2 linked regions of the Canis lupus familiaris genome follow. The protein of the gene in region 2 interacts with the protein of the main gene of each other region in a pairwise test. Links are inferred from orthologs where the notes say so. Each region holds a gene or a part of one and is shown on either strand. Other genes may lie near its edges.

Region 1 (4,525 bases), on a different chromosome or scaffold from region 2:
ACTAGATCCCGCGGAAGGAAAGTGTGTGCGAATCTCTGGAAAGAGTTAAGGCTCCGGGCTCCGATCCTACAGCACAGACTTCCAGGGGAGGTGGGCGGGCCGGGCTCAGGGTGGTGAGCAAGCCACCCACGGCACCCATGGCCGGGGGCGCGGGCAGCAGCGGACTCCAGGAGGCCCCAGGAGCGGGGTGGGGGGGGCGCACGGGGGTGGGACCCTGCAGTGGATGTGGGGCCCGGCGGGGGGGGGGGCACAGGTGCGGGGGAGGGGTGCATGGTCAGGGCACGGATGTGCACGTGTCAGCCCCGGGCGTGCGTGTGTGTGAAGAGCGTGAGGAAGGTCTGCAGGCACAGGCCCACGTCCAGAGGGGAGGGGACGGCGGAGGAGACCCTGCGGAATGGAGGCAGGCCTGGGAACGGCCAGGAGGCGGCAAAGGACAGACCCTGGGGGGCGGCCCGGGACTCAGCGGCTGCCATGGCAACCTCGGTTCTGGGTGCCCCCCAGCGCTCAGGACAATGACACCACTGGACGGGAGGGGGCGGGGAGTGGTGAGTGAGGAGGGCCGGCCGTGGGGAGGGGGCGGGGAGGCGGCTGGCGGCCGCAGGGCCACTGCCGGTCCCCTGGGGAATCCTGGGGTGCAGGGAGGTGCACCTCCTCACGCGGCCCTCAGGTCGCACTGCCCAGCGCTCGTCCCGGCTGGTGCGACCGCGGCGGGCTGCGCCCGGGCCGGTCACCGTCACCTTCCTCCCGGCGAGTCCCCTCCCCTCCCGGGATCACCCGGCAGCCTGGGCGGAGGCCCTTCTTGGGACAGGATACCGGGCAGGAACCGGCCCGGCCGCTGCCAGGAAGTCCGTCCCCTTCCCTCCCGATCATTCTGCGCTCTGCTCCCTGCTTCCTCGCACCTACCTTCCTTCCTTCCTTCCTTCCGCCGCCCCCCAGCTGCCCAGGTGGAGCCCCACGGACGTGGGACCCGCTGGGGACGCAGGGGAGGAGGGGCAGGGATCTGCTTGCTGGTCCTCGGGCGGGAGCCAGAGCGGGCCGGCTGGGGCTCGGGGAGCGCTGGGGGCGGCGGGCCAAGGGGACACCACCGCGGGGGGCGCAGCACCCCGAGAAGGCCGGGCGTCCCGACAGCACTTCTGGATCATCCCTAGCGGTGCCTTCCAAACCCCCAGTCGACTTGGGAAGAAAGCCCGAGGCTCAGGAGCCACTGCCCCCCTGCTGGCTACCTGTGGCCTGCGGGCGGGGGCGGGTGGACCAGGTGGCCTGGGTGGCGGGTGGGGGTGTGTCCCAGGAGCCGGGAGGGAGGCCCCAGCCTGGGGGAGGGGCGGCAGGCAAGGAGGGGGGCCCATGGGGCCCACTTCAGTTTCCACCTGGGCCCCTCGTTCGCCCCTCATTATCCTGAGTGTCACACGTCGTGGACCTCTGCCCGTAGCTTCCGTTCAGCCTCACCCTGTGACAAAAGCGGGGGGCTCTAAGACTCAGCCGCCAGAGGGGAGATGGGTCCTGGGGCCTCGAACGGTTCAGCGTGGCCTGAGAGCAAGAGGCTTAGCCCTGGGCACGGACACTGGGCCGAGCCTGTGGGACTTGACCCAGGTGGGGGCATGGAGTGTGCGATGGGGGGGGGCTGCCTCCTGGTGTGGGGGGGACGGGGGAGGGGGGAGGGGAGGGCCTCGCCTGCTGCTGTGTCTCCTCCCTGTCTCTCCCCTGCATCCAGCTCCTCCCCCCCTCCTCTCCCTCCGGTGGGCTTCCATCCCATGTCACGTGGTGCTGGCCCTGAATACTGAGGACTTGGGGGGGGGGGCCTGTGCCCCAGTGTCCGTGTCTGAACACTCGGGGCCCCTACCCCAACACCCATCAGGAAGGAGTGAGATTCCCAGCTGTACAGGGATCATCACTGTGGTGGGGAGGAGCCTGAGCGGGTTGGCTGTGCCCAGGTGGTGCTGAGGGTCTGCCTAGGAGGCATGGCCTCGGCCTTCCCCAAGGGTGCTGGGGTGGGCACCCAGGGAGGGCACCCAGGGCAGGGCACCCAGGGCAGTGCGGCCGAGCAAGCAGGCCGCGGGGGCTCTGGCGGCCTCGGGGGCTCTGGCACCGTCCCCGACGCGGCGCTTGGCCACAAAGGGAAGAGCAGCTACAGCTAATCGCTCTGACGGCCCGGGGGCCACTCACCCAGACACAAAACCCACAGATTCAGCCGTTTCCCAGCGCGAGCTCCGGGGCGCGCCCTCCCCCCGCCGCCCGCCGCCGGCCGCGTCCCCGTCCCTCGCGCACATTCCCCTCGTTCTCTCCCCCCGACTCGGGCTCCATCCTCGGCTGACTCATGCTCCTTCTCTCTCTCCCGCCCCCTCCTCCGGCCTTCCGCCGCCCCGGGGCGCAGACAGCGGCCGCTCCGGGGCCCCGGGCGCCCGGCGGGCCCAGCACAGCGCCCTGCGCGGCCCCGGGCCCCGGACCGCAGCCCCGGATCCCGGATCCCGCCCCGGATCGCAGCCCCGGATCCCGCCCGGGGGCACCGCAGGACCCGCCCCCCGCCCGTCCCGCAGCGGGTCGCCCGGGGCCGGGCACATGGAGGCCGTGGGGGAGGGGGTGCGTAGCGCGGGGACCGCTGTGATTTGCTGCGTGCGAAGCGGTGTGTGCACGAGTCACATGGGCGTGTGTCGGCGCGTGCCGCGGGCTCCCGTAGGTGTGTGTCCGGTCGGCTCCCGCCCCGCCCGCGCCCCGGGCCCGATGCCCCGACCCCGGCCCCGACCCCCGCTCCCCGGCCCCCGCCCCCGCCCCCCGCCCCCCGGCCCCCCGGCCCCCGCCCTCACCGCCTCGGGCTGAGCGCTCAGGGCGCGGTCTCCGGCGTCCCGGTCCTGGGCAGCGTCCGGAGCCTCCGCTCGGCTCCCGCCGCTCCTGCCGCCGCCGCCGCCGCTTCCGCCCGCCGAGCCCGAGCCCGAGCCCGAGCCCCAGCCCCGCGCGCGCCCCGCCCGGCCGGCCGCTGACGTCACCGGGGCGGGGCCTGCGGGGGGCGGGGCCTGCGCGGCGGGGCGGGGCCTGCGGGGGCGGGGCCTGCGGGGGCGGGGGGGAGCGGACCCCGCTGCGGGCCTCGTCCTCTCCGTCCTCGCGCGCGGGCACCGGGGGAGGCGACGGCGGAGGCCGAGGCCCCGGATCCCCCGAGCGGCCGCGGCAGCGCGGCGGCGGCCCCCTCCCCTCCACCTGGGCCCTCCCCCGGGGTGATGCCCGCGTGTCCCTCTCACCTTCCCCAGATGTCCCGCCCGCCGGCCTCCCCCCACCATGATGTAATTTGATTTTCTGGGAGGAAAAGAGCAGCAGTGAGCTCAGCGTGCAAATATAGACGCCGCCGTGCAAAGCCACGCTCAGCTCGGCCTCCCCTCTGCCGGCCGGCCGCGCTCTCACTTCCTCTCCGCCTCGGGGACTTTCCTCCCAGTCTCGGCCACACTGAAACAGGGAAGGAACACGGGGGGCGGGGGGCAGCAGTCTGCGCCCCACCTGCAGCCGGAGGGCTGTTGCCTCAACTCCGGCCGTGCGGCCCTGGGAAGAGGCCTGTGCCACCTCCAGCTGGGGAGCCCCCCGTCCTGGTCTACAGGCCTCCTGCCTCCTCCCTGCCCCCCATCACCACCCTCTGCTAGCAGGGCGTCCTCGTGCCCTGGCTGTGTGTCTCCTGCGCTGTGTCCTGGGACCGCAAGCCATTTCTCTGAGCCATCGGTGAGACCCAGAGACCCAAAGTGACGCCTGTACAGGGGCTGGGGCTTTGCACTGGCTCTGCCCCTCCCGGGGGGCAGGGTATGCCCCCAACGCCCAGCGCCCTCGCCAGGAGGGTGCACATGCTGCTGCCCCCCCCCCCCCCCATGCAGGGCTCTCCCCAGACGCAGAAATCCTGAGTGTCAGGAGTGGCGCAGATGGGTGCTCGGGACCCAGCCGCAGATGGGCAGGGGCCCTGCCCTGAGCTGTGGGGGCTGCCGGCTGCCTATGGTTGGCCCAGGGCCCACTCGGCGTATTAGACGCAGGACTGAATGGTGGCAGGAGCCCTCCGCCCCCTCCAGGGGCGCTTCCTGGGTTTGTCCAGGACAGTGACGTGGCTCCTGAACTTAGCCGTCCTGTAGTCTCAGCGGCACCTCTGTACCTGGCCCGTAACTGTCACGTCTGTGAATTCTGGGCAATCAGTGCCTTGGTCCCCCCCCACCCCCCCACCCCCCGACGGCATCCCACTCCCTTACCCGGACGCCAGCCTGGGCTGTGCTGGGGGCCGTAGGGAGCCTTCCTGCCCAGAACCTCAGCCGCCCAGGCCCGGGGGCAGGGTGGGGGGCCGCATGGACAGAACTCTGTGCCTCCTCTGCAGGGCGGGCCCTACTGGTGGCCTCTGGCCGTGAGGGCCAGGGGCCCCCTTCCCTCCCTCTGCCCACCTGCCCATCAGTGCCCTTCCTCCTGGCTCCCAGGACGAGACCCAAGCTCCACACACCCCGTGACACCCGCCCATCCTCGTGGGGCCCACTTGCGGGTCTCCTCTTGTCCTGCTCATCTCTTCTGCGCC
Region 2 (4,308 bases):
TGTTGAATGGCCCAGCACTAAACATCTGGGATCCAGATTTTACACTGCACTGTGGATTAGGGAGCCCAACACACTGGAATGCGTTCCCACTGCAGCAAAAGATAGGATTTGTACAATTCCTTTTCTAATCAGAAAAGTCACAGGCTTATGGGAAATTTAGGTTACAAGTTTCTCATTTTCACTCTGCAACAATAATTTATCCACACCCCAGCTGGAGAATACATTTTATTGTGTGGTGCTAACACTTAGGGGATTGTAACCATAAAACCAGGCCTGGCACAGGGACAGCTGTGTCCCGAACACAATGACTCAGACCAACTGGGAGTTTAAAGAGCCATATCTCATGTGCTGAGTCCTCCAGCACCAATGTTTAGTGAACACCTGGAGGGCAGAAGAAATTGCCACACCCAGCAGCCAGCTTGGCCAAAACCGCTTCCAGTTACTAAAAGGGTGCCACGACCTGAGCTCAAGCATCCTCCAGATACAAGCCCCCGCAGGGCTCAGGGAGACAGAAGTACTTAAGTTCTGTGCAAGATATTAGGGACGGAAACTACCAGTAACAGTAACTGCCTCCTGGATTCCTCCCCTCTTGATAGGTAAACTTCAAAATACCCCTTATATACAGATTTCAGCAGCTCACCAGCTTATCCTTTAATAGGAACTCAGCAGATCTCTCCTGAGGGAGCTAAGATGTACTAAACACCAACTGGCTGTGGCTTCTCACCTTTCCTCCTTAAAAGCGCATTTCCGTAAAGCTGTGGGAAGGAGCTATTCTACGCATTGTAGTTTTCATGAGAAACCTAAAACCTGCAGCACAGTCACCGGCATCAGGGCATCACCATGTTTTGAAAACCCTACAAGGCAGATGACATGTCTTCTGCGGATGGACAGTGGTGATGAGAACCTAACAATGAAAAAGCGCTTCGGGGGACTGAGCTGTAGGCTTACAGGCGGTCAAGATGGCAAATTTTGTTACCTTTTTGCCACAATAAAAATTAAAGAGCTTAACCTCTGTAAGACTTGAAGGTAAATGAATTTCGTGATATATTTTGATTAAGAAACGCACACTGGGGAACCAGACAACTTCCAGGAAGCAGAGTCTCCCCCCACCTAGTTTGAAGTGAGTCAACAAACCTCCATGGGCCCTACACAGCCCTTGTCACTGCGGTGAACAGGGACACACGCGGTAAGGGCGCGTCCTCCTCCAGGCCTGGACTACTGTGCACTTTACAGGACTGCGAGCGGCAGTGGCTCCTGGAGGGCCGGATCGGAGCTCACACGTTTAGCGGAAAGGTCCCCAAACAACATTTAAAGGCTACACACAAATTGTGTGTGTAGCTCACAAAACGTCTAATATGGAAAGAGGCCTTTATCCCAACAGGCGGGGTGTGAACCTGGGGTGTGAGCGGCTCCAGCCGCGGAGGCCCTTCACCCCTAGGCTGTCCCTTCCGGCCTAACTGCCTCTCGCTGCATCGCGCTCGCGGGGTACCTGGTCCCCGGGGCCCTCGGGAGGTCGCGGCGGGGGCAGGGGGGCCGGGAGGGCCCGGACCAGGGCACCGGCTCGCTCGGGCGGCCCGGACCGCGCAGGGCGGCGGCAAAGGGCCCCGGATCGGGCGGCACCGCGCGGCGGGGACACGCACACCCGCCCTCTCCCTGCGCCCGGCCCACACCCCGCGTCCCCGCCCTCCCCCTCCCCCTCCCCGGCCGGTGGCACCGGGCGCCCCGACCCGCACCGGCCCGGGGCAGCAGCCTCGCCCCCGCCACCCTCCTCCGGAGACCCCGAGACCCGCAGCAGCCTCGCCCCCCCCCGGAGTCCCTGCAGCTCCCCGCCCCCCCAGGAGCCCCCAGCACCCCCCCAGTCCCCCAAGCGCCCCGCCCCCTAGGAGCCCCCAGCACCCCCCCGGAGTCCCCCCAGCGCCCCGCCCCCCAGGAGCCCCCAGCACCCCCCCCAGTCCCCCCAGCGCCCCGCCCCCCAGGAGCCCCCAGCACCCCCCGAGTCCCCCAAGCGCCCCGCCCCCTAGGAGCCCCCAGCACCCCCCGAGTCCCCCAAGCGCCCCGCCCCCTAGGAGCCCCCAGCACCCCCCCAGTCCCCCCAGCGCCCCGCCCCCCAGGAGCCCCCAGCACCTCCCCCGAAGTCCCCCCAGCGCCCCGCCCCCTAGGAGCCCCCCAGCGCCCCGCCCCCAGCCCGCCCCCCCGGAGTCCCCCCAGCGCCCCGCCCCCCAGGAGCCCCCAGCACCTCCCCCGGAGTCCCCCCAGCGCCCCGCCCCCTAGGAGCCCCCAGCACCCCCCCGAGCCCGCCCCCCCGGAGCCCCCCAGCGCCCCGCGCCCCGGAGCCCCCCGCCCCCCAGCTCCCCTCCCCCAGCCCCCGCAGCGGCCGCCGGGGAGAAGCGCGCTCCAAGCGCGGCGGCGGCGCCAGGACGGGCCCGAGGGCGCGCACCGGGGCCGCGGGGAGGCTGGTCCCTCGGGGCCGCGGCGGCCGAGGCCGAGGGGGGCGGGAGCGGCCGGCTGCCCGGGGCGGGACGGAGGGACGGCGGGACGGAGGGACGGAGCGCGGGCGGCGGGAAGCAGGTCCTACCTGCGGGGCAGGCGGGCGGGGCACCTGCGCGCTGCGGCGGCTCCGGGCCGGGCCCCTGGCACCGCTGGCCGAGGGGGGCGGGGGGGGCAGGAGGGGGCGGGGGGGGCCGCGCTGCGCTCCCGCCGGAACTCGCGGCCGCCTTGGCCGGACAGGGGTGGGGCGAGGCGGTGCCGGCCGGGGCGCAGGGCGCAGGGCGGGGGGGGGGCCCTGGGGCAGCGGCCCGGCCTCGCTCCTCCCTCTCCCGGTCCCTCGGGGCCGGCCCGGGTGTCGCCCAGCCGCGCGGACGCAGGCTCCTCGGCGGGCCCTACGCTGACTGCTCGCGGGGACCCCAAGCCCCCGGCCCCGGCGCAGCCACGTTGCAGGAGGGACCCGCGGGCCGACAGGTGTCCTAACTTGGGGCGACGCGGCCAAGAGGTGGAGCCGCCGCCCCACGTCCCCTGCGAGCCTCCGTCCCACCTGCTCGCCGGGTGCTACTGTTCACCTGGGGCGAGGCCACGGGGCCGGGGCGAGGGGCGAGCAGCCTGCAGCCTGCAGCCCACCCGGAGACGACGCCCTGCGAGCTCTTGAACACTCGAGATCTTAGCAGGGAAGGAGGAGTCGGGAGTAAAGCACGGAAACTTGGCATCGGGCCCCTGCAGCGCTTCAGTGCAGCAAGCTCCGTGCCCTTGGGGCCGCCCACAACGGTCTAGGAGAAAGGGAACCTGTTGCCTCGGGCCGACGGGAGGCCTCGGGGTCCGGCTCGCTGCCCCCTCCCCGGGGCCGAGGCCCAGGCCCAGGCCGCCGCCCCTCCGCCTGCGCCCACGTGCCCGCGACGATGCCCCTTGGAAGCCCCCAGTGGACACTGCCCGGCGGAGGCGGGCTGAGTTGCATAATGTCTTACTGCAAACGTGGAACTACATGAAACGAAAAATAGAATATTCCAGCCCAGGGGAGGGGGAGGGGGAGGGGAGGGGGAGTGAAATCGCAGTCTGGAACTCTTTTTTTTTTTTCCCCTGTAACCTATAGTTGCTCATCCCTCCCAAGACTACATTTTTTTCTCTTGAGCGCATCTTTTCCTAATGATAGGAGAGTCACACAGCCGTCCCTGCTTCCTTGTTGACAGAAATGATTGATGTCTTTAAAAAAAAAAAAAAATCCTCGGATACTGACAGGTTTTTACAATTAAGCACATGGCCCTCCGCGCGCAGTATTGCCTAAGAAGAGTTTGGCAAGGGTAAGACCAGCATGTTGCTAAAAGGCTGAAGAGCCTTTCCTCCTCTTCTTTCTCAAGTTTTATTAGTCACAGATGATTTGGTAAGTGTTCCGCACACAATCAACTGCGCTCTTCCAAGCTTGTCTTTAGAAACTGTGATGCTCCTGATAGAGAAGCAGCAGCCTCCAGGATGGCATCCCAAATGCCTAAGTGTCATCATTAAAACATTTGGCACTAACCTGAGACAACAGGTCTTTCTAGTAACTATAATTAAAAATAAAATTATTTAAGTCCCCTCGCAGTAATTGAATTTCTGCTTCTTCTTGCTAGAGGAATCATAGTAACAGTCCGCTATGGAGTGCCGAAGACAAATTTTAGATACAGTATGATTCTGGATGTAATTATTTCTGTTTTCCTGAGGGGATTTGTTGGTTGTTGCTGGTGTTTTTCCCGAATCTTGCCTGTCTTCAGACATGTCAAGAAAAAACTGACGATGAAATCCTATCATATATCCATCTGGATACGCATATGACATTTTTAT

Evidence for each region.
Region 1: the proteins of PLD1 (region 2) and PEA15 interact in a two-hybrid assay, tested with the Homo sapiens proteins (2 studies listed by BioGRID). The link is inferred for Canis lupus familiaris from reciprocal best matches to the Homo sapiens genes PLD1 and PEA15.

Annotation. Positions count from the first base shown.
Region 1 is NC_049259.1:22,833,685-22,838,209, forward strand, and holds the start of PEA15 (astrocytic phosphoprotein PEA-15), read right to left. Parts: upstream 2,976-4,525; 5' UTR 2,802-2,975; intron 2,220-2,801; exon of another isoform or gene 2,164-2,219; intron 1-2,163. UniProt on the Homo sapiens protein: Blocks Ras-mediated inhibition of integrin activation and modulates the ERK MAP kinase cascade. Inhibits RPS6KA3 activities by retaining it in the cytoplasm. Inhibits both TNFRSF6- and TNFRSF1A-mediated CASP8 activity and apoptosis.
Region 2 is NC_049255.1:36,367,702-36,372,009, forward strand, and holds the start of PLD1 (phospholipase D1), read right to left. Parts: upstream 3,080-4,308; 5' UTR 3,057-3,079; intron 2,628-3,056; exon of another isoform or gene 2,576-2,627; intron 1-2,575. UniProt on the Homo sapiens protein: Function as phospholipase selective for phosphatidylcholine. Implicated as a critical step in numerous cellular pathways, including signal transduction, membrane trafficking, and the regulation of mitosis.